Regions from separate parts of the Mus musculus genome. Here regions 1, 3 and 4 are each reported to be linked to region 2. The links are microRNA targets in miRTarBase. Many come from high-throughput screens and were not tested one by one. Region 2 holds a microRNA gene; each other region holds the end of a gene's coding sequence.
The links. Region 2 holds the annotated microRNA mmu-miR-124-3p (UAAGGCACGCGGUGAAUGCC, at 4,388-4,407, shown strand). A microRNA usually pairs through its seed, bases 2 to 8, with sites in the 3' UTR of a target mRNA and lowers its output. Matches are read on the target gene's strand: a 7mer-m8 pairs with bases 2 to 8, a 7mer-A1 pairs with bases 2 to 7 and ends in A, and an 8mer does both.

Region 1 (7,117 bases), not on the chromosome of region 2:
CCTGCTTGCGATAGCCTGGGCCTGCTGCCCTCACACTGGGTTCCTGCTCAAGTATCTTTAGTGGACTTCTAAAAAGTATAGCTTGGAAGGAAGGTGGGGGCAGGAAGAGTGCCAGCCTAGGCTTCAGAGCTGTCCCTCCTGTTTGGGGGACTTTATGTGAAAATGGTCTCTCTCTAGCCCAGGCTGGCCTGGTCTGCTCTGAGCCTGTCATGTCCTAATTTTGTCATGTCCTAACATTTGGTTACATTCCCCTTAAAAGTTAAGGCCAGAAATTGGGAAGCTTAGGCAGGAGGACTGAAAAGAGTTTGAGGTCAGCTCAGGCTACTGAGACCCTCACATCAGGAAAGAAAAGTAAAAAAAAGAAAGGTTAAAGTCAATGTCAACAGGACCTGCTCAGCAGTTACTATGTGTGACCTCTTCCCTGTGGACCCATAGCAGGTGGCAAGCCAGGGGCATGTTAGGACTTGCCCCATACATGTGCTAGGCCCAGGCTCGGTTCTCAGGTGAGATGGAGCAGTCTCTATCTCAGTGTACCCTACCTGCCCTGTTGCAGGCTAGCCCCTTCCCCAAGGGCATGTCTCCCCTGCCCCTTGCAGACGTGGGCTGCAGGTTGGGGCAGGTGTTGCTAAGCAGCTCCCTTGCTGCAGTGATGCGGACCCAGGGCAGCCTGCGGCTCATCCTGAACACGAAGCTGTGGGCACAGATGCAGATGGATAAGGCCAGTGAAAAGAGCATCCGCATCACAGCCACCGACGCTGAGGACCAGGGTGTCAAGGTTTTCCTGATCTCGGTAAGCTTGAGGGAAGGTGGGGGTGGCACACTGGCTCGGTGCTGAAGACCGCTGATGTTACCAGTGGGCAGGCCCGGACACAAACCTCCCCTGGGTAGTTCCTGATGGCTGTGCACACACCTGCTGTCCCCTCGGTTAGACATCAAGGGTAGGGAGGGAGTTGGGGGGGGACGACACGACAGATCCCAGACCTCATTGTCCTGCCTAATTCTCCAAAGGGCACCTTGTTGGTAGTCTCTTGCTATAGAAGTCAGCTGACCAGGCCAGTGTGGCCTAGTCACAGGCTAGGGCCTACATGTGTGAACACTGCCCAGTGTGGCCGTTAGCCACACACTGCCACGTAACACCCTGCCTCCCCAGGCCAGCTCCAAAGACACAGGCCAACTGTATGCTGCACTGCACCACCGCATCCTGGCTCTGCGTAGCCGGGCTGAACAGGAACAGGAGGCCAAGGCGCCCCCACCTGAGCCAGGAGCCACCCGGGCCACCGAGGAGGAAGACAGTGATGAGGATGCTGTTCTGGCTCCCTCCGGTGTCACGGGGGCTGGTGAGCACCATGGGACCAGTGGGAGGGACCCCAGCTGGTGACTGTGTGCTGGGACTGAGAGACCTGCTCTCCCCACAGGCACAGGTGATGAAGGAGATGGCCAGGCTCCTGGGAGCACATAGCGGCGGAGCCACTGCACCAGGCTGCTGCTTTGTTGTCTGTCTGCTGCCCGTCCCTCCCTGCAGGCCGCATCATGGTGGTGTCTATTGCCGGGGTGGCCACAGGCTGGATCCGAGTGTCCCCTCTGCAGCAGACGGGGACGCCAGGATGCGGCTTGGGACTCAGACCTCATCATATTGATGAGTAGAAAGAACGTTCCCCCGCCCTCCTCCGATCGAAATGGCACATTGACACTTGTCACAGCTTCGTGGTGACCGTCCATCCCTGGGCAGCAACAAAGAGAACTCCAGGCTCAGCATTCTGTTGAGTAACTTGCTACCTGCTCGGCTTTCCACTCTGCCAGGTCCACATGGCAGGTGCCTCTCCTTCATTTCTGGTGGCTTGGCTCTTGAGGTCACAGATGAAGCTACACGTGGGCTGAGCTGACTTGATGCTCCTATGGGTGGTGCCCGGCCCCCACGGGGGTTCACTAGGTTTGGGCCTGAGAACACCTGTCTGGACAAAGGTGATGAAACCAAGAGAGCTCCTGCCTTCTTGCCTGCCTACGTGAACCACCTGGGTCTCCCTTAGCAGGTACCCAGCCCTGAGGTGACTGACCACCTAGGGCCCCTGAGAGGCAAAGGGAACCTGCAAAGGGCCTGTCCCCGGGCAGAAGATGAAGCCCCTACCCGTGGACTGTGTGGTTCCATCTCTGGCCAGGCCACTTCCAGCCAGCAAGGACACCAGAGGCTGCCTTAGCAGATGGGTCACACTGCTTCCAGCCTTAGCCAGCCAGTGACAAGTGAATCCAGACGTCACCCATGTGTTTTGGAACATTTATGTAAGATTGAAATGTATTTGAGAACTGCATTAAAACTTTTAACTAAAGCCCCAGACTCTTTTGCACCTGGCAGCCAGTCAGGCTGGATTTGGCCATGGGCCCCTGATGGGGTCAGTAATCAATCCAGCCATTGCTAGGCTTGTGGGTGGCCCTGCAGGAGACCTGGTCCAGCCAGTTCTTCAGCCTCCATTCTCACACATCCCCCCCTCCCTGTGTCTAGCTGGGGCCCCCTGGGACAGTGGTGGCAGAGGATGGCAGGTGGATCAAGGGACTAGGCTAAGTGCAGCTATTAGGCAGGTGAGAGTAGCTATGTCAGAGGTGCCAGGCGCTGTCTGCTGTAGTAGTCTTGGAACTCAGCTAGTGTGACCTGTGGATGTGCTGGCTGTGAGGGGACCCAGACCAATGACACTGCCTTAGGGGGAGGCAGCATCTTCTGTCCACTCCCCACTGCACACCCCTCTCAGGTCATCAACAGTCACCACACCATCCCCAGTTTGGTCCACGTTGGCAAAAGCAGCTGCAGTAACAGCTTCCAGAGTCTGGGACATGGGGGGCTATGGGAGGGGGACAGTGACTGTGGAGTACAGGGGTCAGCACCCATCACCAGCCCGTCAATACAGGCCAGCCTCACCCATAGCACCCATAGGAACTCCAGGTCCAGGGTCCCACTGCCATCACAGTCCCAGCGCCTGCATAATGCCCCTGCCTTGTCCACTTCCAGCCCCAGCTCTGCCAGGCCCTCCCTCAGCTCCCCTTCATCCAGGGGCCGGCTGCCATCCTTGTCCAGGTGACAAAAAAACCCTGAGAATCAAGATGGGGTTAGATGGATAGTGACTACCCAGGCCAGAATCTGCTGGGTTTGCTGTGGGTGAAGGCTCACCTGGCCAGTCCCTGGATGCCTGAGGCCCCTCCATGATGGTGTTCACGGTGTCCATTATGGGTACAGGTGAACAGCTGTGGTGGGGCGGAACTCCCAATGAGTTTCTGTACTCGGCCAGCCTGGCACAGACCTCAGTGATACTGTACAGCCCAGACAGAGCCTGTCTGTGTCCCTGAATCCTGCTCTGGAGCTCCAGGTAGGTTTGTGTGTCCTACCTGGCACAGCTGTTGCTAGGCAGTATGATTCTGGGGACTGGGAGGGCCCTCGCTGTGACCCCATGTCAAGCACATTGGCCAGCACATTGGCCAGCTAAGGAGACTGGGTGAAGTGACTCCCAGACCCACTGTGCACACCCCTGGCCACAGTACTTCCAAGCTTGGCTGGAGAAAGGGCCTTGTTTCCTGTGCCCCTCAGCCTACACTGTCCCTACACGGAACAGCCTAGCCAAAGCCAGTCTAGGGCTAGTTGGACATGGTGGCACTTGAGATGGGGACATATCTGAAAGTCTAAAGCCAAGTTGGGCTACCAATGGAAACCTTGTCTTTAAAAACTGAAAACTGGGGACCTGGTGGCATATGGCTATAATCCTAGCACTCAGGAGGAAGGACAAGAGTTCCAGGCTATGTGAAACTGTCTCAATGTTGAAAGAAAAATTATGGGGTTGCAAGCCAACCAGCATCATGATTCAGTTAATGAGAAGCTGAAGTGACATTTTGCTACCCAAATAGATGATGGCCTGCTAGGCTCCAAACATTGGCAAGTAGCAGAAAATTCTCATTGTTTTCAGATTTTGGTGCTGGCAATGGAACCCAGAGCCTTAGCATGCCAGGCAAATGTCGTTACGCCACACCCAAGGCACTATTGCTTTTCTATAATGTAAAACATAATTAACTCTTACAGTTGCTGCAGTGAATCCTTTCATGGTCTCAGCCCTTGGCAAGCTCTAAGATACAGCCCAAGCTATTGCAAGTCTTAGCAGTAAGATGCAAGGCTAGGGATAGCTTAGCATTACAGACCCCACCCAAGATACATACCCCAGTGAGGGGCTGGGGGTGTGGTCAGGGCGTGGAGTTCCACCTACAATCCCCTAGTGAGGGCTAGAAAGCCTGGGTAATATGAGTTTCGATATTCCTCTTGTCCCCTGAATTGCAAGTGGCCTCAGTTGTGCAGAGAAGTAGTTTTCCTTCACTTCTTCGGGCTGAGTTTCAATTGTCTCTGGGAATAACTTGAACATGGAAGCTGCAGGACAGCTGGCTAACTCCAGCCCCCTCCGCTGTAAAGTATGTATAAGGCCTAGCAGCGTGCTACCCCACAACAGGAAAAAAGGTAGAGTCCAGGTTGAGAAATAGCCAATTTATTCTGGTGCAGACAGGCCCTAGTCTGCCTTCTATACAGATAGCTCCCTTCTTTCCTCCATCCCCAAGAAAAAATGGGCCTCTGTCTCCCACACTGAGGGTCCATGTCAGACTCTGGGTAGACTGGATGGCTGGAGGCCCTTCTGTTTCGAACACCCCCTACCTTCTATCTTGGTGGCTGCTCAAGGACAATTTCCCTGAGCGCACAGGTCATGGAATTCAACAGACACCACCTCTGGGTGCAAGGGCTTGTGGGGCCCCTTCCTCTCACTGCTCTAACAAGGGCAATGCACCCTCACCATCATAGGCTCTAGGCAGCACAGAAACCAGGATTTAAAAAATAGATTCTCTTAGGGTATCAAAAAGGCGTCTTGCTACAAAAACATCATTGTCCCTGGAAACCAGGAAAGGGCTTATCAGGTATCCAGAAGGCTCCTGGCTAAGGCAGGGCCTCCCGGGCTGTGCTAGGCACTGATGGAGACAGAAGACAAAATTCCCTGCTTCATAGCCACTGCCTTCCCACTGAAAAGGTGGTCCCAGGATGGGGCTGTGGGTGTTTGCACAAAGCCTGTCATACTAGCACTGGAGATGCTGAAGCAGGAGGATCAAAAGTTTAAATCCAGCTTGAGCTACATAAAAATTTTAGAGGCCAGCCTGAGCTACATAAGACTAAGCTTCAGAAAAACTAGACCAAACAATCACAGTACAGGGCAGTGACCAGCTGGCAGGAATGACTTCAGAGATGCTGGTTGGAAGGCCCCTCCAGAAGGGGGCATTTGAGAGAGACCTGAGTGTCAAGGAACTGAGTGTGGAATCAGGGAAAGACATTGAGGCACTCTGGGTTGTGGTGTCTCAACCCACTTGTTCTTCCTAGAAGGGTAGAGCTATGGGAGAGAGATCCAAGATTAATGATTTGTCTTGGCATTAAGGATGGTTCAGGAGGCACAAGAGTGAGTAGAAAGAAAGGTAGGGAGTGCTCCCATCAGCAGGGCACGGTGGCTCACATCTAGATTCCAAGTACTTGGAAGGAGGATTCAAGGGAAGCCTGGGTTATAGAGAGAGACCCCATCTCAAGCAAAAAGACAAACTCCCCACAGGCAGGGCCTGTAGTGGGAGCCTGTCAGCCTAGCAGGGATCCATGCCACACTCCTGAGACAGCAAGCCTGGCTACCTGGGACCCTGTCCCAAACAGGAAACACCGAGGTTTCAGGGTCAGTCCCCACCATCTCACTGATGCTGGGGTGCCTGTCTGGCTTGGGCTTTGTGTATGCCTGGTGGAGAATGCTCCTCCCAGAGTTACCACCCTTACCTTCATTTGTTTTTGAAACTATTTAAAACCAGTGGAATGTAGCAGATACTCCAGCACTGGGGGGGGGGGGGGGGTTTAAATGAGATCTTGAGTTTTCACTTGTTGTGATGTTTAGATGGGATCCGGGTAATGTCTCAAGACCCCTCTAGGTGATGTCCAGGACTCTAAGAGTGGAATCCCCATGGGGCCGTGACCACAGATTCTGAGATCTGTCAGGACAGCTCACACCGTGGTCCCAAACACAGCAGGCTGCTGGTCGTCCTGGTCGTCCTGGCCCTCCTCCTTTCCCATGTTGTTGCCCAGGGGTGGGCCAGGCCCATCAGGAAGTAGCTGGGCCCTATGGCTGTGGCTGGCCGGCAAGGGGCCCAGTTCCTCTGCCTCCTCCAGGGTGGCCAACAGTGCGGCCAGGGGTGGTCGGTGGCGAGTGATGTCCTGCAGCAGGTCAGCCCGAGGCTGTAGCTGCTGGATCATCTGGTCCCTCTGGTCCACTGCGGCCTGCAGGCTGCGAACTGTGGCCTCAGAGCTCAGCAGCTGCTCTTGGAGGGCAGATATCTCCCTGGTAAGAGGACCAAATAAGGTAGTTACCTACAGGGGGTGGGGGTGGGGGCATCTACCTGCTCCAGAATCCTCTGAGACTCCCTATGTCTCCTCCTGCACTACTTCTTTGTGTGCTTGTTTATGTGCATAGGCGCACACATGTGACAGCAAACATGTGGAAGTCAAGGTACAATTTTCAAGAGTTGGTTCGCTCCTCCTGCCCCATGGGATCAAATTCTTTGTCATTCTTAGTGGCGAGTGTCTTTATACACAGAGCCATTGATGTCATTGGTAAAGCACCCTCAGCCCCACAGCAGGCCTGGCGCTCTGTCATCCCAGCACTCGAGAGATGGAGGCAGAAGGATCAGGGGTTGAAAGCTACATAGTGCCTTTAAGGCCAGCCTTCTCTCAAAAAACAAAACAGTGCCAGTTTTGTGTGTCCTTCGGTAGGACTTCCGCATGGTCACAAATGGTTGTCACAGATCTGACTATTCTATATAGGGGTGTTCTGTGCCTTTGTCTACCGATGTGGGCCCCTACCCAGCAGCTTCCTTCGATCATCAGACACAATACTCTTGCACCTACCGGCAGACTCGGCCTTGTGGGTGGGACAGCTGGCTTCATTTTAACAGTTTGAAATGCTCTCAAGTAACCCAGGCTATACTCTAAAGTCCCCATGTAGTCGAGGATGGCCCGAACTCCTGATCCTCCAGTCTCAGCCCTCCTAGTGCTGTGATGCCGGGCATTTAGTGCTCCGGA
Region 2 (7,117 bases):
CAGAAAGATTGCCTAGCGAGGGGCCTTTGCCAACTAGTTACATTTTTTTAATTAAAATCCGTCACAAGGATGTTTTCTAGTTCTTACCCACCCCTCCTAAGATTCTCAATTCTAGAAATTTACAAAAACAGCTTATTTCCTAAGCTTCTAGCCACACAGTGTTGAAGCAAAAAACAGCACATGGGGGAGGTTTTGTTACAGCCGTTCTTCTGTTGGGGTCCTTACCTAACAATTGACAGAAACAGAAATGGCCTTCCATCCAGGGGGCATCCCCGGAGGTCCATCAGGGCTAGGTGGGCGCCGCGGCCACCACCCTCTGCACTGGCCATTGACAGCCACAACATTTAAGACTGCTTTTAGCTTTCCGAGTTTGTTCTCCCCTGTCTAGATGTCTTGAATTCAACATAGCCCAAGAAACAGTTCAGTTTTTTTTGTTTGTTTGTTTATTTGTTTCTTTTAAGTCATCAAAGAAAAGCAGGCGTAGGGAAAGCAGATGGGCCTGCGTGAGCAGGTCGGGGCTGCCTCGCGGCTGCCGCAATAGCCCTTTGGGAAGACAGATTTCTCATCGCAGGCGCGGGGGCTCGAGTGGGGGAAGGTCTTTTTGGTTCGCTCTTATGGGGGACATTCATTCTTGGTCCTTCTTTAAGCCACAGCTAACTCTGCTCTTGGAAAAGAAAAACAGTTACACAGCCACACAAGTACAACAAAAGGCGCCTCCCCGAAGTGGCTCTCCACGTCCGCAGGACGGGTGGCTGGACGTGTAGACGCACTTTTGTGCCTCTGTAATCTCGGACGTCCATCTGGCCCCGGCGGGCGAGGGCGGGCGGGAGGGCGCGGGCAGGGGAGGAGCGCGCGCACGCAACTAGAGGCGCGAGCACGCGCGCCCGCTCTCCTTCACTTTCACCTTGACTGCGGGGGGGGGGGCGTTGGTGGGGGCGACAAGAGACTATGGTCCTCCATCCCCCCACCTTCCGCCATTCGTCTTCCCACCCCCAGCACTGTCCTGCCCAGACGCCAGCCTAGGGAGGGGTGAGGAGGAGGCTGCACTGGCGCTCGGGTCGCCGCACCGCCCCGCAGCCTCGCGCTCTCCGCAGTGACAGCAACCACAACCGCAGCAGCACCCAGCTCCATCCTCACCAGCCTGGCTGAGCTACAGCCCGGCAATTCGGGCTGAGGACGACAAGCAGAAGGTGTGCAAGTGCCCCCGAGCTCCCCACTCCATTGACCGAAGCTCAAGAAACCGGGAGTGGGCTAGCGGCGGTATTGCACGGAGGGGACTGAGAAAAAGAGGACTGGAGACCATGAAGCTATTCAGGCAGGGGTAGGATTGAGCCCCCCGAGTCCACCCAGAGGACTTTGGCAGGGTCTGGGGCGGCCAGGGTGGCTTCAAGGGATCGGAGGGCTCTGACCACTGCAGATGCGGCGCGTGTGGGTGCGGTGAAAGCACCCACTTCTCCCAGGATCTAAACGGATAAACGGAAGCGAGTGTAAGTGTGGGGGTGCGAATCGCCACCTCCGGCCTTGGCTTTCCCGTTCGTGAGAGCACCCCCACTTCTCACTTTCCCCAAATCCGCATTTTTCTTGGCACAACCCTCCCGAACACCGAGCGAGGAGAGGGAGGTGCCCGGGGGCAGTGAGAGTGACGTGTGCTGGTGCAGAGGGGGGGGGGGGGGGCTGCGGGCCGGGCTCTGTGGACCTACTCCTAATCCTCTTGTTTTCGGAACTGTCAGCAGATGTGGCTTCTCTTAGCTGAATAATCCGTTAAAGGAATAATAATTTTTAAAAAGGACCTCGGCCTCACCCAACGAGGACAGTGAAGGAGATCAGCTCTTGGTAAGACTAAAAGAAAAGGCACTAAATTCTCTGCGTCCCTCTCTCTGTCTTCCTCTCAATCCCCTCACCCCCTCCCCCTCTCTTCTCTCCTCACCCCCCCCCCTTTCTCCCCCATCCCCTGCAATCCGCACTCGACGCGAGTTCACGCGCAGGGCTGGATTTCCAAGCTGCACTGCAACTTCTCAGCGCGTTATTATTATTCATCTGAGGGTGCAGCCTCTGCAACCTTCGCCTCCTGCGCTAGCATCCTTCCCCCTCGACCGCGGCCACCAGCAGAGCGGTTTCTTCTGCACGCGTGCTCTGGTTCACCAGAGGAGGATTCTGGCTTTTTGCTTTTTTGTTTTGGTGGTTTGGTTCGGTTTGGGGTTTTTTTTTTTTTTTTTTTTTTTTTTTTTTTGGTTTTGTGTCTTAATTCTTTCAGGGTCATCGCCAGGATGCTTTTCCTCCGGCCAGGTGGAGCCAGCATCAGCGCCTGCCAGCAGCAATTCCCTTCAATAGCCGAGGAAGCACTTGGGGCTTGGCCAGGGAGGCCGCTCCTTGCTTGCGGGGCTGACTTTAGCCTCCACTACTCTCCCGCATCCATCTGCGTGTATATTATCCCCATCCCTTTTTATTCCAATAGATCCGCCTTTGGTTTGGACTGGCTGAAACGCGGCGGACTGCAACCAGGATCCTTTAAAGGAGAACAAAAAGATGAGGATATTGTGCGGGGGTTCCGGGACAAAGCGTCTTGGGACGCGCGGAACTCTGGCTCCCCGATTGGAGAGATCAACGCTGCCCAACAGTACCCGGCCGGACCTGCGGACCTCTGAGGTTATTCGGACTCAATTTTATTGATTTTTGTGGCATGCTTTAAAAGGGTCAGTGTTAGGTAAAGACTGTGTCCCCCAACCCTGTGGGGTGGGTGGGAAGCTGAACGGAACCGATCCAGTTAGATTTAACTTGTCCTCTATGCCCTCTACCTGGCTTTTTTGAGCCATTGGGAAGGAGAATGGGGAAGGCTTAGAAAAGAGAAAGGGGGGGGGGGGACGACTGCCTGAAAGGATAAGGCACTAGTAGGGAGTGGGATGGACCAGGTGAGGGAGGTCTGTGGGTTAGGAAGCACCTTCCTCACTCTGGTGCACTGGGTGGGTTTGTTCAGGGAATGGCAACGTGGGTGTCTGTTGAAAGCAGTCTTGTGAAATTGACATGTACATGCATAAGGTGACTGGACTTGTGTGTAAACAGAGTGATGGAGAGCAGAGAGGGAGGGGTCTTAAAATAATATTTTATTGTCCCTATGGATTTGGGGATCTCTCCCCCACCCCACCCAGCTACATTCTATAGGGGTGACCTTTTAAAATCTACACCCACCCTTTACCTCTGTAAAACCGGTTGACGGGTGGGGTGGGGGAACATGTAGGGGTGCGCGCTCTCTCTCTCTCTCTTTTCCCCCTCCCCCCTCCCAGTCTCCCTCCTCCCTCTGTCTCCCCCTCCCTCTCCCTTCACTCCTCCCTCTCTCGCTCTCCCTTCGCTCCCCCTCCTTCTCTGTCCCTCCCTGCTGCATTTTGCATGAGCTATCTAGGTCATTAGCATTTTAGCGTATGCAAGACTTGACAAGGCTGATGAGGGGCCAGATGGGCCTCGCTCTTATTTATTTATTTTTTTTTTCTTTTCCTTTTTCCCATCCACCACTTGGGACCTAAGCGAGAGGACCGCAGCAGGAGAGTTCCGGAAGGCTGATTCCCACAGATCCTGGTAAGGGACCGCAGCAGCTCTGCCCTGCGGCACGCCCGGCCAGGCTACACCCGGACCCTACACTCAAGGTAAAGGCGGCGGTCACAAGCCCTGCCCAGGCAGCAGTAGCTGGGCCCCTGCTTCCCATCCCTTTCCTCTCCGTCATCTCCCTCCTCCTGGCCCCCCTCAGTTTCCTAGGCGAAGCTGAGAGCGAACTGGGTGGGTAGGATTCGCTGCGGTGGGGCGAGGTGGGGTTGATGTTTTTTCATTGTCTGGAACTGCAGGGGAGGCGAAGCGCGAGGAGAGGAGTGAGGGAGTCGGGGTAATTAACACGGGGGAGGCACCCCTCCGTCTCCCACTTCCACCCACATCCCGAACCCTCCACCCCCCTCCCCTTTGCAGGAAAAAGCTTGGAAACGAAAGGATGCGGGAGAACAAAGAGCCTACGGAGGACGTGGCTGTTATCTCATTGTCTGTGACTGGGGGAGCTGCGGTAGGAAGGATGCGGTGGTCCTTAGCTCATCGCGTTCCCCAACCCCACACCCTCCCTGCTGTCAGTGCGCACGCACACGCACGCGTCGCCAGCTTTTTCTTTCTCATCTCTCATTTTTTTCATCTCATCTTCTCCCCATCCCCTCCCTTTCTTTCCACCTTTCCTTCCTTTCTTCCTCCCTTCCTTTCTCCCATCCTCCCTCTCTTCCATCCTTCCTTCCTTTCCATCCTTCCTTCTTTCTTTCCTTCCTTCCTTCTTTCTTTCCTTCCTTCCTTCTTCCTTCCTCAGGAGAAAGGCCTCTCTCTCCGTGTTCACAGCGGACCTTGATTTAAATGTCCATACAATTAAGGCACGCGGTGAATGCCAAGAATGGGGCTGTCTGAGCACCTTGGGTCCACGAGGGCCTGCCACGGAAGGATCGACCCAGCACAACGCCCTGGGCAGATCTCAGCGCTGCAGCTGCAGGCGCCCACAGTACGGGTAGCAGGCTTCTGAGTGCCTCGCAAAGTAGCCCTTAGGGTGGGGAGGTGTGCAGCTACCGACAGAGAGGGGTTTGTGCAGATGCAAATAGAATCTAGGAAGCAAACAACTCATTCTGTGACAGAAACACGGATCTATGCAAGCGGGGGGGTGGTGGTGGTGGTGGCGGCGGCGGCGGCGGCGGCAGAAAATAGCCTGGGGACGGCTGGAGAGTAAAATGTGCCCCTCAGCTCTGGGACCCTGCCCATTGTAGAAGGCCGACACCTTCATCCCTACCTGTCTTAGTTCCGGATTTCAATTTATTACCCTTAAACAAATAATAATAACCAAGTACCCATGCGACTGGCAGACTGCCCCAAAGCCTAGACTGCAGCTACCTTGTATTGTGCTTGGGGTTGCTGGGGTAGTCTTTAGGGGAAGCTGTTTGTCACCCGTTGGTGGAGAGCTGTGGGCATTTGACAAGCTTAAACAGATCTCTGGAGTGAGCGAAGGCGATCGGCAAATTTGTTCATGGACAGCGCACAGACTCCATCAAAACTGACAGCTAGCCCACTGCTCTAAAGCAGGGCCTCCCAGCCTCCTTGGGGCTGTGGCTGAAGTTTCAGGCAGAAATCCAGAAGCTACAGGAAAAGGAGGCGCAGCCCACCCCCAGCCCCCAGAGTGTGGGCCTCTCCCCATCGCTCTTAAAACCCCAAGACAGAAGGAAAATCAGCATGAGTAAGGTGGAGGCCTAAGGAAAGTCTGTTTTGAAGCAGGCTGTCCAGGAACAGAAAGGGTTAATCCTCCCTCATCCTGAAGCACCTGCTTCCCAAATCAGCCCCCAACAGCAGCAGCTGGTCCTGGAGGCCCCCGACACAGTTCCATCCCGTCTCCATCTCAGTGTTCCGCCAACCTGCAGTGGATGGATGATGGCCTGGTGGCCGACCTAAACTCATTAATTTTCAGGTGGAGTAAATGGAGGAGGGGCAGGACCCAGCAGCAGAGGGAGGGAAAGGAGGCCAAGAGCTGGCCTCCTCCCCCCCCCCACAACCCACCCCCAGGAAGCAGGCTGTAGCCCTCCCCCCTGCTGTCATGCCAGAGGCCTGCCTTTGCAAGGCCAAGCCCATGAAGGATGTTTAGGAGTTTAATCTGATTCCTAACACAGTAATCAGGGTCTAAAAGAGCATCCGTTGAAGTTAATGGAGGACTCTTGTCTCAAAAAGCCTCAGCCTCATCTAGTCTAGTAAATTAGTATTTGAGGGTATATCATAGATCAGTACCTCTCTGGCCTAGTTTCCTCAAGAGTATTCATTATTTCTTGAGTATCTACTATGTGTCCTTCTTTACGATGATTTCAACTTCTAAATTTCCTCACAGAAGAGAATGTTAGAGCTAGCCAGGCTGAGCTTCAATTTACCACATTCCACCTAGGCATTCCCAGAACCTTCTCCCGCTCTGCAGAAATAAGCCACCGCCTGCTTACTCTTGCAGGCAGAAAGCTGCAGTGCCCACACCCTGAGGGTGTCTCTGGCTGAGTCCTACCGGACAAGCCAGACTGCTTTCAAGGCAGAAAGGGAAAGACCCAGCCACAATGGCTGTCCTAAGAGACGCCATAGCCATTGCTTCGAGAAAATCTACCTCCCTTGAAATAAAAATTGGCCCTTTCCTGGGGTGCTCCCTCACTTCACAAATGGGTTAGAAGAGAACGGCTAGTGTGCTGTACCATTTTGGGGGTACACCCATTTGCCCCCCCCCCCCCGTGCTCATTGAGATGTTATTTTGCCTTCAAGCAATGGCCTAAGCAGATGATGGCCCAACCCCCCTGGACCACAAATATCCCCATTAGCAATCCTCTACTCAGTAATTGCTTCCCCATGATTCTTTCAAATGTCCCCTCGTCCTTCACCGATATTTCATCTTACGTAACCCCCAGATGCTTCCCCAAGTAAAGTCCTTTTAGGTAGAAACCCAATATGCTTTTGCTCTGAGAGCGCAAACCGCAGGCACCATCCATAAGGCCTGCCTGGGATCTGCTACGGAGGATCTGAGTTGGGAGGGGTGCATTGTTATTTTATTGCTTACGTAAAACTCTTGTTCCAGAAAGTATTATTCGTGTGTTATTGGCGTGTGGGAGTGTTCTGGACTGGCCAGTCTATGTGAACCAGTGTTCGTATGTGTCTACCAGATCCCCTTCCCAGAAGGGGTTTGTATGTAGGACTCTAATGACCTGCTCAGCCCCAGGTATAAGTGCAAACCCCTTTTGTTTCCACCAAATGAAGAATCAGAGCCAAGGTCAGCCTGAGCCACCTCCTTCCTCTACATTCGCTGCCCTTCTCTGCCCATCAATAATTATGCAGAGAAGCCTTCTGCTCTCTCAAGGCACCTCCTGGATTCTCAGCATCATCTCCCCTGCCTATTTGAACCTTCTAATTACATCTTATGGCGAAAATGAAGGGAGGAACTTGCGATCTAACAGTAGGATGAGGCTGCCATAGTTTGATGGCTGTATATGTTTTCTTTTTCCCCTTGGGTTTATTCACACCCGCTACTGCCTTAGTCCCCACTGGGTACAATCTCTTGTGTTTCTTAAGGAACCCGGTACTTGGACTAGATTTA
Region 3 (7,117 bases), not on the chromosome of region 2:
TTCCTTCCTTCCTTCCTTTCTCTCTCTCTCTCTCTCTCTCTCTCTCTCTCTCTTTGAAACAGGATCTCAAGCTGTAACCCCAGTTTCCTTCCTTCCTTCCTTTTTTCTTTTTTCTTTTTTTTTGGGGGGGGGTTTCAAGACAGGGTTTCTCTGTGTAGCCTTGGCTGTCCTGGAACTCACTCTGTAGACCAGGCTGGCCTCGAACTCAGAAATCCACCTGCCTCTGCCTCCCAAGTGCTGGGATTAAAGGTGTGTGCCACCACTGCCCGGCCCAATTGGGGGGATACTCCAGCCTTACATCCTTCCTCTGTCAGCTTGTGAGGAAAAGATTCCCAGAAGACCATGGGGCAGGAAGAAAAAAAAAACGTACATACAGGTTTATGTGCTTCTGTGTCTGTGTGTGCGAGTGAAAGCCGGAGGTCAGCCATGGCTGTGTGAACGCTGGAGGTCAGCCATGGCTGTGATTGGGAATATGCTCGTAGTGACAAAGAAAGGAGCAGCACTCTACTCAAGTGTCAGGACAAGACAAAGTTTATTGTTGATCAGAAAAGCAAGCACACAAGACAAAGTGCACTTGGCTTTTATTCTAACTGATGTGAAAATCGTGCCTCTTCTTCATTCTCTGGGCTCCACCTCACAGTGTTATTCAGTTGGCTAGTCTTAGAAGAATTAGCTCGCTGGAATTAAGAAATAAGGAAGGGAAAGACATCATTGCTCCAGGACATCAAATCCCTGGACAGGAGCAGTGACCTCTGAGAAAACAAGGGTTTTAATGGTGGTGGCAGGCATGCGTGTGCATGTGTGTGTGCGCGCGCGTGTGTTATGGCATTTACATAAAAGGTAGGGGAGACAAAGGATTCTTTTTTAATTTACTTTATTTCATGGTGTTTTGTCTGCATGTATGTCTTCTCTTCCCCCAATAAACTTTCTTTATACTAGACTTATCTATGGTGTGATTGTTCAAGGGATGCCTCAGCGTGGGCCCGCTGAGGTACTCCACCCCAACCTCCCACCCCCACCCCGCCAAAATTATACTGCGTTATAAAGGGTAACCGAGGACACAGGTTCAGTTTCCAGCACCCTCACAGTGGCTCAGGAGTGTCTGGAACTCCAATTCCAGGGAATCTGATGCCCTCTTCTGGTCTCTTTGGGCACTGCAATGGCATGGTGTATAGACGTTCATGCAGGCAAAACGTTCACACAACAACCAATAAATAAATAAATAAATAAATATTTACAAATAAAACCAACCTGGAAACAGTCAGCTGCCAACTGTTTTGAATCAAACTTAAATAAATAAACCCAGTTTTGCACAGTCTTGCCTTTGTCCTCAACAGCACAACACAAAAGATAGGTGTAGAACCACGGCTCTTTCTGAGCTCCCTTCTGGCCAGTCCCAAGGGCAAGCCACCTATGGGATGGCCTGGGAGGGCAGAAGTGTTCTCTGCTGGGCAGCATCTCTCGAGCCACTTCCCACTTCCGGCCAAGAGCAGAGACACAGGCCACACCCTTGGGGCGGAGCCTGTGCGGCACCCAATGTGGAATGGGGCAGACAGCACAGGTCCAAGGAGGTCTTCACGTGGCCACACCTTGGCCAATTTCCAGACTCAAAGGACAAAACTAGGGGCACAGAAGCCTGGGGTTTCTGTAGCTGTGGCCAAATACAATCCCAACATAGACACTGTAACAACTGCCAAAAAAGCCAGCGTGGCAGAGGGGCCACAAAGAGGGCAGCGAAGGCACTTTCCGGAATGTCTGCCGACCCATGGAGTACTGGGAAATACAGACCACACAGCGTTTTGCAGCCACTCACCTGCTTCTGTCAGCCGCATAAGGGGTCTTTCCTTAAAGTTGGGTCATGCTGGGTGGGGTGCACATCTGCCACCTGTGAGACATCTTGTGGGCCGGGCAGTGGTGGCACACACCTTTAAAACCAGCACTTGGGAAGCAGAGGCAGGTGGATTTCTGAGTTCGAGGCCAGCCTGGTCTACAGAGTGAGTTCCAAGGATAGTCAGGTAGTCAGGGCTACACAGAGAAACCCTGTCTCGAAAACAAAAAACAAAAAAACAAACAAACAAAAAAAGACATCTTGTGGGACCCAATTCTCTCTTGCCAAATTCAGGTTGCCAGGGTCATTTAGGTGGCTGAAGAATGGCAGACATGAGTTTGAGGTCAGCCTGGCCTACACAGTTAACTGCAGGACAGCCAGGGGTACCTAGCAAGATCCTGTACACACACATAAAAAGAAAGCAATTCTGGTTTTTTTTTTTTTCAATTTTATTTTTAGTGTATTGGTGCTTTGCCTGCATATATTTCTGTGTACTACATGCACGCCTGTTAACAACAGAGGACCAGAAAAGGGCATCAAATCTGAAACTGGAGTTACAGATGGTTGTGAGCCACCACGTGGTTGCTGGGAATTGAACTCAGGTCCTCTGGAAGAGCAGCCAGTGCTCTTAACTGATAAGCAATCTCTCCAGTCTCTTTTATTTTCTTAAGATTATCTGGGGATCTCTGAGTTTCAGGACAACCAGGGGTATGTTTGTGTGTGTGTGTGTGTGTGTATGTGTGTGTGTGTGTGTGTGTGTGTGTGTGTGTGTGTGTGTGTGTGTAGTATCTATTACTGTGGAAGATGGGGATGTGACATATGACAGCAGTCAGGGGACAACATTGGGGGTTGGGTCTCCTTCTGGCAATGGTTCTGAAGACTAAATTTAGGCTTTTGTGTAGCAGATCTATTCCCCATCAAGTTGTCTCACCAACCCAAGAAAACCTTCCAAATGATAAAACTGATCAAACTTCTCTTTTTCTTGAGACAGGGTCTTGTTATGTGCCTAAGAGGGCCTGGAACCCACTCTATAAGTCTAGATTGGCTTCAAATTTATAATCCTCCTGCCTTACACTCCTGGGTGCTGGGATTACAGGTGTGTACCACTCTGCTGGCTTAAATTGGCCAAATACAGAACTGATTTCAATGTTACATGAGTCAGCGATCTAGACTCTTGAAATAAAGCTATACATTTTGAGACAGGGTCTCTCTATGTAGCCCTGGCTGGCCTGGAGCTTACTATGTAGACCAGGCTAACCTGTAATTCAAAAATCCACTCTGCCTCTGGATACTGAGATAAAAGGTCATTGGACCATCATACCAGGCTTTGGTCAACTGATTTTTGATAAGGAAGCCAAGATCATTTAATAAAGTCATTTTGATGAATGCTGCTGAGATAATTAGTCATACACAGAGAACAAAGTATCTAACCTCTCTTCACATACAAAAACTAACACAATGTGGGGATAGAGGGATGGCTCAACCCAAGAGAGCTCGTTGCTCTTGCAGAGAACCCAAGTTCAGTTCCCATTGATGCCATCTTCTGGTCTCCCCAGGCAACTGTATCCACATGCACTTCATATATATAATAATTTAATAAGCTGGGTTAAAGAACTATATGTAAGAGCTAGTGGCTGGAGAGATGGCTCAGTATTTAAGAGCACCAACTGCTCTTCCAGAGGTCCTGAGTTCAATTCTCAGCAACCACATGGTGGCTCATAACCATCTGTAATGGGATCCTTCTGGCATGTATGAAGAGAGCAATAGTGTATTCATATACATAAAATAAATAAATCTTTAAAAACTCAGCACAAGTAACTAGAGAAACAAGACAAATGGAACTTGAACCAAAGTTCAAAACTACTGAGCGCAACAGGACTCTACGTGCAAAATCCACAAAATGTGAGAAAGGCTTTGCAAATGACGTGAGAGAGTCTAGCAGCCAGAATATATAAAGAGCCCTTATAATTCAACAACAAATGTAGCAGTAGTACAACTTGGTCTTCATGCGGGTCTCCCAACAACTGGAGTGGGAGCTGTCCCTGACACTGTTGCCTGCCTATGGATCTTGTTCCCCTAACTGGGCTGCCTCAGTGGGAGATGATGTGCCTAGTTCTACAGAGACTTGATGTCCCAAGGTGGGTTGGTACCTAGCAGGTCCTCTTCCTTCTCAGAGAAGGGGACTGTTTGTATGGGGAACTGGGAGGTGAGGGGGTCTGCAATCAGGATGTAAAACGAATAAACAAATAAATTAATGGGAAAAAAATTCAACAACAAAAAGGAAAATGGCTTAAGCCACTTGAAAAATGGTTGAATCACTAGGCATAGTGGCACACACCTCTAATCCCAACACTTGGGAGGCAGAGGCAGGCAGATCTCTGCGAGTTCAAGGCCAGCCTGGTCTATAGAGTGAGTTCCAGGACAGCCAGGGCTGGCTGCACAGAGCGACCCTGTCTTGAAACTTCCTCACCCTTCCCCAGAAAAGAAAGAAAAATGGACAAAGTCTAAACAGTTGTGTGGAGAAGGTGTGTAAGTGGCCACATCAAAGCAGCTCACCATCTTCAAGAGAAATACAGACCAAGGCACAATGAGATTCCACGTCACAGCCCCTGGGAGAGCAATGGAATGTGTTGGTGAAACATGGAAGAAAACAGAGCAGTCACATGTCACTGTGGGAATATGGAACAGCACAAGTGTGGGGGGAAAAAACCACGCAGGCCTTCTCCAGTTCCCGTGTGACTCAAGAGGTCCTACCCTGAGGGCTATGATAAGCAAGAAAAATGAAAACTTGTGTCCACATTAGAAATGTGTACATGGCTGTTCTTGACAACAGTGTTTAGTCAGAGCTCCAAGACAGAAACAACACAAATATCCATTGGATGATGATGAACAGACACGTGATCTGTGTCCAAATGGAATATTACTCAGCCATAAAAAAGGAACGGACAGAGCATGGATGCACCACCATGGGTGGGTGTTGATGATGTTGTGCCACGTGAAAAGCCAGGTATGAACGGATAATTATTGTTTGATTCCACTTACATGAGCGATGGGGAGCTGGGGGGATGGGCTTAGCAACACGCTAATTAAACAAAGCCAGACTGGAAGGCTGACTTATCCACTATAGAACTCATATGATCACATGAAGTATCTAGAATAAACAAGTCTATGAAGATAGAGCATAGACTAGTCCAGAAGTTGGGGGTGGGGGTAGGAGGCTTATCAGCAAAGGAGGGAAATCACTGCTAAAGGCACATCTTTTGGGGGTAATAAAAGCGTTGTAGAATTAGATGTACGTCATGGTTATGAAACTGTACATACATACTCACAACCACCAAACTGTTCATTATTTGAAAGGATTTGATGGAGCCCAGCGTAGTGGAGAACTCCTGCAATCCCAGGACAGGGAGTCAAGGTGGGAGGACTTAGGTTTAAGACCCACTTGGGAGACAAAACGAGCTACAGGCCAGTCTGGGCTACACAGTGAGGCTGGCTCAAAAACGACAAACCAAACCAAACCATAAATAGAAAACCAAGCCCTATCCCTCAATATACCACCCTTTCCCATACACGGTACAGTGTGTGTAAGCTTTTTCTCAAAAATGTTTTAATTCAATGTCTAACATAAGCAGTGACATTTATTATATATTAAGTACCAGCTTAAAACTGCCAAAAATCGAAATCACCCGACACCCACCCTCCCAATTCTTGACCAAGAGCTTTTCCAGCAAAGACAGGCTCTCTTCTCTCCTTGATACGGTAGGTATGAACAGACACATCGGCCTGTGTGTCCTATGATGTGTCTCCACGTGATGGTGCTGCCCAGGCTCCTCTCACTGCCCAGGCCCCGAAAGACTCTTGTTCATGAACTGTCTCTTCACAAAGCAAGTCCACCACTGTCAAAGGCACAAGACAGAGCATATGCTCAGGGTCAGGGCACAGTGCAAGTGTGGGCGCGGGCCAGCATTCCAGCCTCTCTCTATGACAAACAACAGTGTAAACAGCAGACACCTCCCACTGAACTCAAAGGTGACCCCACAGAGCAGGGAGACGCGTCCACCTGGCCCTCCCCAGGCGTGAGGCTCGTATCACATCCACCCACGGGCAGGAAGGCATGTGAGGCAGACGCGGTAGCATGCCTGTGTACTGCAGAACTAGAGGCAGAGGCAGAAGGAGCTAAGGTCACCTGTGGCCACACAGTTAGCTCAAGTCCAGCCTGGGCCATTGTTCACCCCCCCCCCCACCCCAACCAAGGGGCCCTGACACGCACTGTATACACGCATGCATGCACATACACGCACACACACACAGATTGCTCCCTGTGACTGTTCTGTACCTGATGCAACAGAGCCACCATTTCCATTTTACATGGCATTTACATCACATACAGATGCCATGCCATTTCACAGCAGGGACCAACAGCCACAGACTGTGGACATATGGCTACACAGCCCATACATAAACGATAGCCGTGGTCTTCCAGAGCAGGCAGAAATGATCGCTCTCGACAGCAGACTTCAGCGGTTTAGAAGGCCACGGGCCAGAGGCTCCAGCTCCAATTAAACAGGCAGAAGGGGACATCTCACCTTGCTGGGTTTATCACTCTGAGGGTCAAAAACCTTCTCACACAGCCTCAGTCCGGTCTCTTGCCTCAGCTGCTGGAGGTACGCCCGCATCATCTCTGCAATACAGGAAATCTGTGTGTGAGGAGGCCCTAACCATGGCCTGTCTGACACTGACCTTGGTGAAGTATTTGCACACATTCAGACAGCTTAGGACAAGAAAGAATGGCCTAGATGGTCTTGGTCCTCTTGGTCGTCTTGGTCTCTCTCTTTCTCTCTCTCTCTCTTCCTCTGTGTGCGCGCACGCATACGCGCACTTACAGGAGTGTGGTTTTCTCCTTCCACTGTGTGTGTGGGTCCCAGGAATCAAGCCCAGACCGTCAGGCTTGTCAGCGGCTGCCTTTACCAGCTGAGCCACCTTGCTGACACAGAATGGTTTCATAACTACGTTCATTTTGGTAGTAGTTCAACAATCTCTGCATGTTCGTTACACTTGTTCCCAAGCTCTCTTGTGACAGTTAAGGCAACACGCGTGTGCTGAGCACCCCGCTGTCAATCTGAGCACCAGCCAGTGGGCCGGGGAGATGGTTCAGAGGAGAAAGAGCCTGCCGTGCACGAGAACCAGAGAAACAATCCTCAGCATCCACATACAAGTACAGTGGGCACGGTGGCTGGCCTGCCTGCAGCGCCAGCCCTTAGGAGGGGCAGGGCCGGGGGATCCCGGGAG
Region 4 (7,117 bases), not on the chromosome of region 2:
CCTCTCTGAAGTCCATGGAAGGCATGGGGAAGGTAAAAGCCTCCCCCATGACGCCCGAACAAGCGATGAAGCAATACATGCAAAAACTCACAGCCTTCGAACACCATGAGATTTTTAGCTACCCTGAAATATACTTCTTGGGTCCAAATGCAAAGAAACGCCAAGGCATGACCGGTGGACCCAACAATGGTGGTTATGACGACGACCAGGGATCGTACGTGCAGGTGCCCCATGATCACGTGGCTTACAGGTACGAGGTCCTCAAGGTCATCGGGAAGGGGAGCTTTGGGCAGGTGGTCAAGGCCTATGACCACAAAGTCCACCAGCACGTGGCCCTGAAGATGGTGCGGAACGAGAAGCGCTTCCACAGGCAGGCGGCCGAGGAGATCCGGATCTTGGAACACCTACGGAAGCAGGACAAGGACAACACTATGAACGTCATCCACATGCTGGAGAACTTCACCTTCCGCAACCACATCTGCATGACGTTCGAGTTGCTGAGCATGAACCTCTATGAGCTCATCAAGAAGAATAAGTTCCAGGGCTTCAGCCTGCCTCTGGTGCGCAAGTTTGCCCACTCCATTCTGCAGTGCTTGGATGCTTTGCACAAGAACAGAATAATCCACTGTGACCTTAAGCCCGAGAACATTTTGTTAAAGCAGCAGGGTCGAAGCAGTATTAAAGTGATTGACTTTGGCTCCAGTTGTTACGAGCACCAACGCGTCTACACGTACATCCAGTCACGCTTTTACCGGGCTCCGGAAGTGATCCTCGGAGCCAGGTATGGCATGCCCATAGACATGTGGAGCCTGGGTTGCATCCTCGCGGAACTCCTGACGGGTTACCCCCTCTTGCCTGGGGAGGATGAAGGGGACCAGCTGGCTTGTATGATCGAGCTTTTGGGCATGCCCTCTCAGAAACTCCTGGATGCTTCCAAACGAGCCAAAAATTTCGTGAGCTCCAAGGGTTACCCCCGATACTGCACAGTTACGACTCTTTCAGATGGCTCTGTGGTCCTCAACGGGGGCCGATCCCGGAGAGGGAAACTAAGGGGTCCGCCAGAGAGCAGAGAGTGGGGGAACGCACTGAAGGGATGCGATGACCCTCTTTTCCTTGACTTCTTAAAACAGTGTTTGGAGTGGGATCCCGCGGTCCGCATGACCCCGGGCCAGGCTTTGCGGCACCCGTGGCTTAGGAGGCGCTTGCCAAAGCCTCCGACCGGAGAGAAGACAGCGGTGAAGAGGGTCACAGAGAGTACTGGTGCTATCACCTCCATTTCCAAGTTACCTCCACCCTCCAGTTCAGCTTCCAAGCTGAGGACTAACTTGGCACAGATGACAGATGCCAATGGGAATATTCAGCAGAGGACAGTGTTGCCGAAACTCGTTAGCTGAGCTCCAGTCCCCCTGATGCTGGCAATCTGAAGAGAGAGAGAGAGAGAGAGAACCGCGTTATAGCTGAGCCTTACTGGGTTGAAAAAGTGTAGCTCAGACCTGTTTTTATTTGCTCAATAACTCGACTCATTTGTATCTTTTCAGCACTTGATGTAAGACTGTTTTGTTTTTATAAAATACATGGGGACAATGCTTTAAGTTTTTATACTTTCTGAAACTGTTTTTGTTTTTGGTTTTTGTTTTTTTGTTTGTTTTCCTTCCTTGTGTTTCTAAAAGTACGATGAGCCTTACTGTATTTAGTGTGGCAGAGAAATCACATTGGTGGCAGGCCATTGATTCTTCATGACTGTCACACATTTACAGATTGGTCAAACACATTCACTCTGTTTTCGTGGTTTTCGTCCCACTCCCCAGGGAGGTGGTCCCCTGAGGCCCCCCTCCTCTCTCCTGGCTCCAGGTTCACACGGAAGCAGCCCGCCTTGCCTCCATTTTTCATAAATTAATCTGGGTCAGAGTGGAGGAGGGAGAAGGGGGGCCGGGGTGAAAAATCTCTAAGGAAAACTGCACTTTCGAGATTTTCTTTTTTTCCTCACGGTCTGTTCAAATGATTACAAAATAGGATTGCCCGCTTTCAACTGCCCACTTAACATTCTGATGTGCTTAAGCCACCGAGCCGCATTTAGTGGATAAGTGGAAACTGAGATGTGTCCGTTCCTCCCGAGGCACTAGGATGATGGCGGGCTGTCATAATCAGGAAGCCTTCTGGTTACGGAATTGCTTTTGCACCTAATTTTAAGGACTCCCCCTCCCCCACAGTGTTCCCTGCTGCCTTTTCTCTTGTTCGCTCCTCTTCCACCACACACATCTGTTGCCTGCGTTTAGTCTGTCTTTTTTGTCCATCCCAGACCAATAACACAGAGAGACATTTCAGCTGCCATTCTGTCTACAGTTTTGTACCCCAAAAGAACATCGGCCTAGCTACCTGAGGTGGGGATTTGCGTAGTTCCAAAGAAGAGTTAGCCGCCTAGACTGGAGTCAGTTCACACTGCAGGTGCCACAGAGGTTCCCTTAGCCTGGGGAAGCATCAACTCTTTCGTTAGAAAGAATAGGGGTTGCAAAGGGAGGAGAAATTCCAATGTCAAGTTAAATGGCCTGACTTATTCTCTGATTCACTAGAAGAGCCCCAGGAAAAACACTATTCCTCTGTTGAGTTGACTTTTTCTTTTGAATCGCACTGAGTGTTTTTGTGGGGAATGACGCTTTACCTGAGAGAGTAACTGAGAGTTAGGTAAAAGAATATTTTCTTCTCTGAATAATAATTATTTTCACAGTGAAAATTTCAGTATTTTATCACTAATGTATGAACAGTGATATATATCAATTTCAAGGCACGTGGAAAGAATTTTTTAGTATGTGCAATTTAATAGAGAAAGATTTCTGCCTGTTTGGACAATAGGTTTTGGATAGTAAAAATTAGGATAAATAATCTTTTATATGCACAGATATTATTGTATTGCCTGTAAATCGATTTACAAGTACTTAAAGCACGGTCCCCAGCGAGGCCAAGAAAGTTTCCGGTTAAGTTTTTTTAATTCTATGTTTTCTCTTACTTAAAAAAAAAAGAAAAAAAAAGAAAAAAATAGAAAGTGTCATTTTGAATAAAACATTTTTCTTATCTTGAGGCTTTGCCAGTTGATGGTGGAAAAATATGCTCAGGAATTATTTCAAATATTTGCCAAAAATCAGTAATAAGATTAGCTTATTAATAAGTTAGTAATATCGATGTTTGCTTTACTATTTAAGGATGTCATTGATAAATTAATTTGTACCCCTGTACTTAGCAATTATAGCTTATTTCCCCTAGTCAAACTCTTTAGCATACTATACACAGTTCTGTGTAATCTGTGAAGTGCAATAATATGTCAATAAGTTACATAAAGATGCCCATGTGACAGCACCCCCAATCAGTGGCTTAGAGGGCTTAAAAATGCTGTATTTATTTTTAAAACTTTGGCTTAAAGGCATAAGAAGTATAAAGAGTCGGTCTGGGGACTTTATAAAGCTATGAGCCTCTTAACGATGGTTATTGTCTTTAGGTCATTAAAATAAATTTTTAAAAATGGACACTATTTCCCCTCCCCGCCAGGCTCCCTTCTTCTGTTCTCACTTGGTTGCTGCCTGAGCCTGAGTCTAAGGTTACTCACTCCCCTAGAACCTCACTGTACTTGCAACAGTTTAGAAGTGGACTAAGATGGTTTGCCTTTCCCCCACCACACAAAACTGGTTCTTCGTAGATGCCAGCGGAACTTTTGTGAGGAGCTTTACCCATATATGGAACCATCATGTGCTACAAGGCTTTTGTTTCCTTCTCTCCCCCCACCCTCCTCCCGGGACTACAGTGAAATTTCCTTTATTCACAAAAACCGTGTCAGCATTTACTGATACCGCTGCTTTGAGGAGAATCTTATTTAACTATTGTGTCTAAAATGAAACTGTTGCCTCTTCATGATCTTCACCTAAGTAAAGGGCTCTGATAGCGACTAGGAGTTGGCTTGGAAACAGGTCTCACAGGTTACCATTGTCTAGGGATGTCTCAGCTGTTTTCAGATTTAGGAATAGCACAGTGTAGTCTTGTCTTTGGTTGCAGTCTCACTTGGCTCTGTTTCTTGCACTACCAGAGTGTTCTTAGCACAACCGTGGAACACGGAGGGACGCAGGGCAGCATAGATTAACATCGTAGAGGAGAAATTGTGCCCTTAGTGTTAATAATGTGCCTTTTGTTCTGAATGCCATGTTACAGGGCATGCATTTTTGGCCTCTTTAACTCTTTGAATGAGAGGTAGTAAAGAGGGATGCCACCTCTGCGGAGATAACATCTGTCTTAAATATCTAGATTTATAGGCCTTAATAGAAACCATAAGGCGTGAATTGTCACTGGATGCTGAGCAAGATAACTATTGGTTAGTTACGCCAGGAATTCCCACGTTTAAGAGGTTAAAGATGGTCTTTGTTGTATCTTAACATCAGACTGATTTTTTAACGATAACTTTTTTGTTGTTATGCTAACACTAGACAAAAAAAAATCAACTGTATTTGTAAAAATTTACCTCAAACCATTTAATTTTATAGTGTGATTGGTTAATCCCAGGGCATTTGGTATGAACCAAAGTGCATTCCTTTTTTTTATGTGCCTGGCTCCAGTAAGGATGGCCAGGGATTTTTACAATTTGGGTGCATGACACTTAAGCCACTTTTAAACTTACTGGGCGGTGTGGGGTCCTGTTAGACGACTCCATCAGAATGTCAGAAAACACTTTAGGCATCAGTAGCATTGGGCCATATTGGAATCTTAAAAGCGCGAATTATTTTAAAAGAGAACATTCATTTTTTGTAATTTTTTTCATCAAGACTATTTCTGGTAACAGAAGATTTTTTTTAAAATAAAAAATAATAATAAAAAAAATCAACGGATTCGGTTGGTAAAGGTTTTAATATTGCCCAACATAATGCTGTGGTAGCATTAAAAAAAAAGTATTTGTGGACTCTGTTTTTAGGGGCTTGTACATCTCTCTGCTATGGACATATATACGATACATTGTAATTATATCAGCTCAACTGCTGCAGTTATGTCTAGGCGGGGGCTTGGGTTTTTTATCGAGCAACACCTTAGACACGTGACTGTATTAATGCTGCAACTGTGTGTACTGAAAATATGTGAAATGGTTGAATGTGGACTGTGTATATATGTATGTACAGATTTCTGTGAGATGCTGCTGTTGCCACTTGACATGGGAAGTGTTGTAGTGGGTCTGAACCCTAGCGACCAGTTCTATGATACTGTATGCATTGTACAGCCAGAGCAGAAGTAAGACTGTTTAGTGAATTATTTGTTAAATTTTATTGTTGTGGCCAGAGATAATTTCAGAATAAAATTTTAATGTCCTACCTTACATCTCACCCCTTTTTCTAACTGGAATCTCACCCTATTTCTCGTATGATTCTTCCTGGTTTGTTAAACCTGGGGAGACTCTTTTGCATGGCAGGTGGCTTGCGTCCTTAAAACCTTGTGTTATTTCTTCACTAGAAATATGCAGATTCTGAGGGTTTTTCTTTTCTTTTTTTTGTTTTTTTTTTGTTCTTGTTGGTTTTATGAGGTTTTAGGAAGAACCCCCCCCCCCTACTAAATCAGAGCTCTTTAGATACTTCTATTTCTCTTTGGTAATTTCATGTTAATTTTTCTTTATATGGTATCTGCTACATCCCATATCCTATACTAGAGCTTCGAATCCTTTTATCCTTCAGGCTGGAGGGGAGCAGGGTGCTCAGGTCTTTCCTGATATTCCTCACTCTTCCCTGTGGACCCTTCAGGTCCGTTATCTGAAGATGCTCTCCTATCTACCCCAGGCTTTCAGAAATGTGCATGCTTTTGCTAATTTTATGATTTTCCCTGGCTCACATTTTGGGGTTTTGGTGTCTCCTGACATGCTTGGGCCAGGAAATAAGGCTTGTGAGCTGCATCTAACTCAAGATGTGTTGAGTTAACACACTGAACATCTAACTCAAGATGTGTCGAGTTATCACACTGAACACCGATTTCTGGCTTACTTGCCAATGGCAACAAGCAAGCGGCTTCCGGTGCCTTATCCACAGTCAGTAGCATGTGCCAAAGGAAGGGAGCATGCGATTCCTAAGCCCAGTACAAAGGTCTTCAGATTTATCTTGCTTGCTGCTTATTCCACATCCGGTGTAAAAGCGCAACACACAGAACCAGTCAACCACAGAATCCACCAAACGAGAGCAAAACCAATGAACATGATGTATATGAAAACCCAAGCAGGCCCACGGCACCCAGGTCTGACTCAGTAAAGACCAGTTACCACCACTCTTACCAAATCTAAGTTTGTTCTGAAGTCAATTAAGGCTATATTCTGTTTGAGTCTCTAGAACTGGTTACCTTTTTGGAACCAGCAAGTATACAAATAAGAATTCAGAAATAAGGAACTTCAATGCTGCTTTCAAACCAGCCTTAGAGAATGCCCCTTGTTAGCGCTGGCTTCGCTTACTGTTCTGTTAAGGAAGGGCTTTAGAAGAGACCCGAAACCACGGGTATCTGTGGCTTTGCTTTGTCTCACCTGTTTCTTCTAGTTTGAATTACACCTCTTTTCCTTCAGACTTAACACAAATAAACACTTGTCACCACTGACAGAAGCCCCTCCCCAAAGAAAATCTGACCACTGTGCTGTGTGTGCATGAGAGAATCGCGTCTTCATGCCAAGTGCTTGGTTTATTTGCTTTCCTCTTCGACTTAACGGATCGGCCGTGGTTGCATCCTCATTAACTGCGAGGGAGACGGGAATGGCCGATTTTTCTGAGTCTCGGAAGTTTAGTAAATCAAGAATGAGTGGTGGTTCTTCTGAAGTGTTAGCTGGCTGTGGTAAGGACTGGAAGAGGTGTGATTGTATTGCGTTTGGCAGCATGTAGGAGCAGCTCTCCCCACAAAGGGGAGAAAGCTCCCTGCAGATCCCACAGTGTCACAGGAGCATCCTTCATCCTTACGCACTCCTCTGAGCTATAATTATCCCCAGCTGATGCTGAAGAAAATGAAATGAATGATACCAAAGAGGCTTTGTAAAAACAGAGGGGAGAAGACTGGGAAGAAGAGAGGTTTGCTAGCCACCAATGTCTGAGGCTATCTTTTCAATGGAGACACCACAAAAATATTG

Region 1: miRTarBase lists Vmac as a target of mmu-miR-124-3p. Seed matches in the 3' UTR shown: 7mer-A1 at 4,953-4,959.
Region 3: the mRNA of Arpc3 is a reported target of mmu-miR-124-3p. The part of its 3' UTR that is shown has no 7-base or 8-base seed match.
Region 4: miRTarBase lists Dyrk2 as a target of mmu-miR-124-3p. The part of its 3' UTR that is shown has no 7-base or 8-base seed match.

Annotation. Positions count from the first base shown.
Region 1 is chr17:56,709,441-56,716,557 of GRCm38, forward strand. It overlaps Vmac (vimentin-type intermediate filament associated coiled-coil protein), which reads right to left. Exons shown (of 2, transcript NM_178926.3): 2 at 4,492-6,377. The coding sequence ends at 6,044. Ranbp3 (RAN binding protein 3) reads left to right here. Exons shown (of 17, transcript NM_001252466.1): 15 at 648-790; 16 at 1,151-1,337; 17 at 1,416-2,329. The coding sequence ends at 1,459. It also overlaps the pseudogene Ccpn-ps. Among named protein-coding and RNA genes, the nearest start is that of Vmac, 3.9 kb to the right of the region's middle.
Region 2 is chr14:64,586,322-64,593,438 of GRCm38, forward strand. Mir124a-1 (microRNA 124a-1) reads left to right here and starts at 4,336; the gene lies at 4,336-4,420. Mir124a-1hg (Mir124-1 host gene (non-protein coding)) reads left to right here and starts at 1,794. Exons shown (of 4, transcript NR_040709.1): 1 at 1,794-1,833; 2 at 2,456-2,646; 3 at 3,520-3,638; 4 at 3,952-7,117. Mir3078 (microRNA 3078) reads left to right here and starts at 4,864; the gene lies at 4,864-4,950.
Region 3 is chr5:122,404,476-122,411,592 of GRCm38, reverse strand. It overlaps Arpc3 (actin related protein 2/3 complex, subunit 3), which reads right to left. Exons shown (of 7, transcript NM_019824.4): 6 at 6,415-6,509; 7 at 5,412-5,724. The coding sequence ends at 5,662. Among named protein-coding and RNA genes, the nearest start is that of Anapc7, 14 kb to the left of the region's middle.
Region 4 is chr10:118,853,829-118,860,945 of GRCm38, reverse strand. Dyrk2 (dual-specificity tyrosine-(Y)-phosphorylation regulated kinase 2) reads left to right here. Exons shown (of 3, transcript NM_001014390.2): 3 at 1-1,597. The coding sequence ends at 1,394. Among named protein-coding and RNA genes, the nearest start is that of Gm40776, 8.7 kb to the right of the region's middle.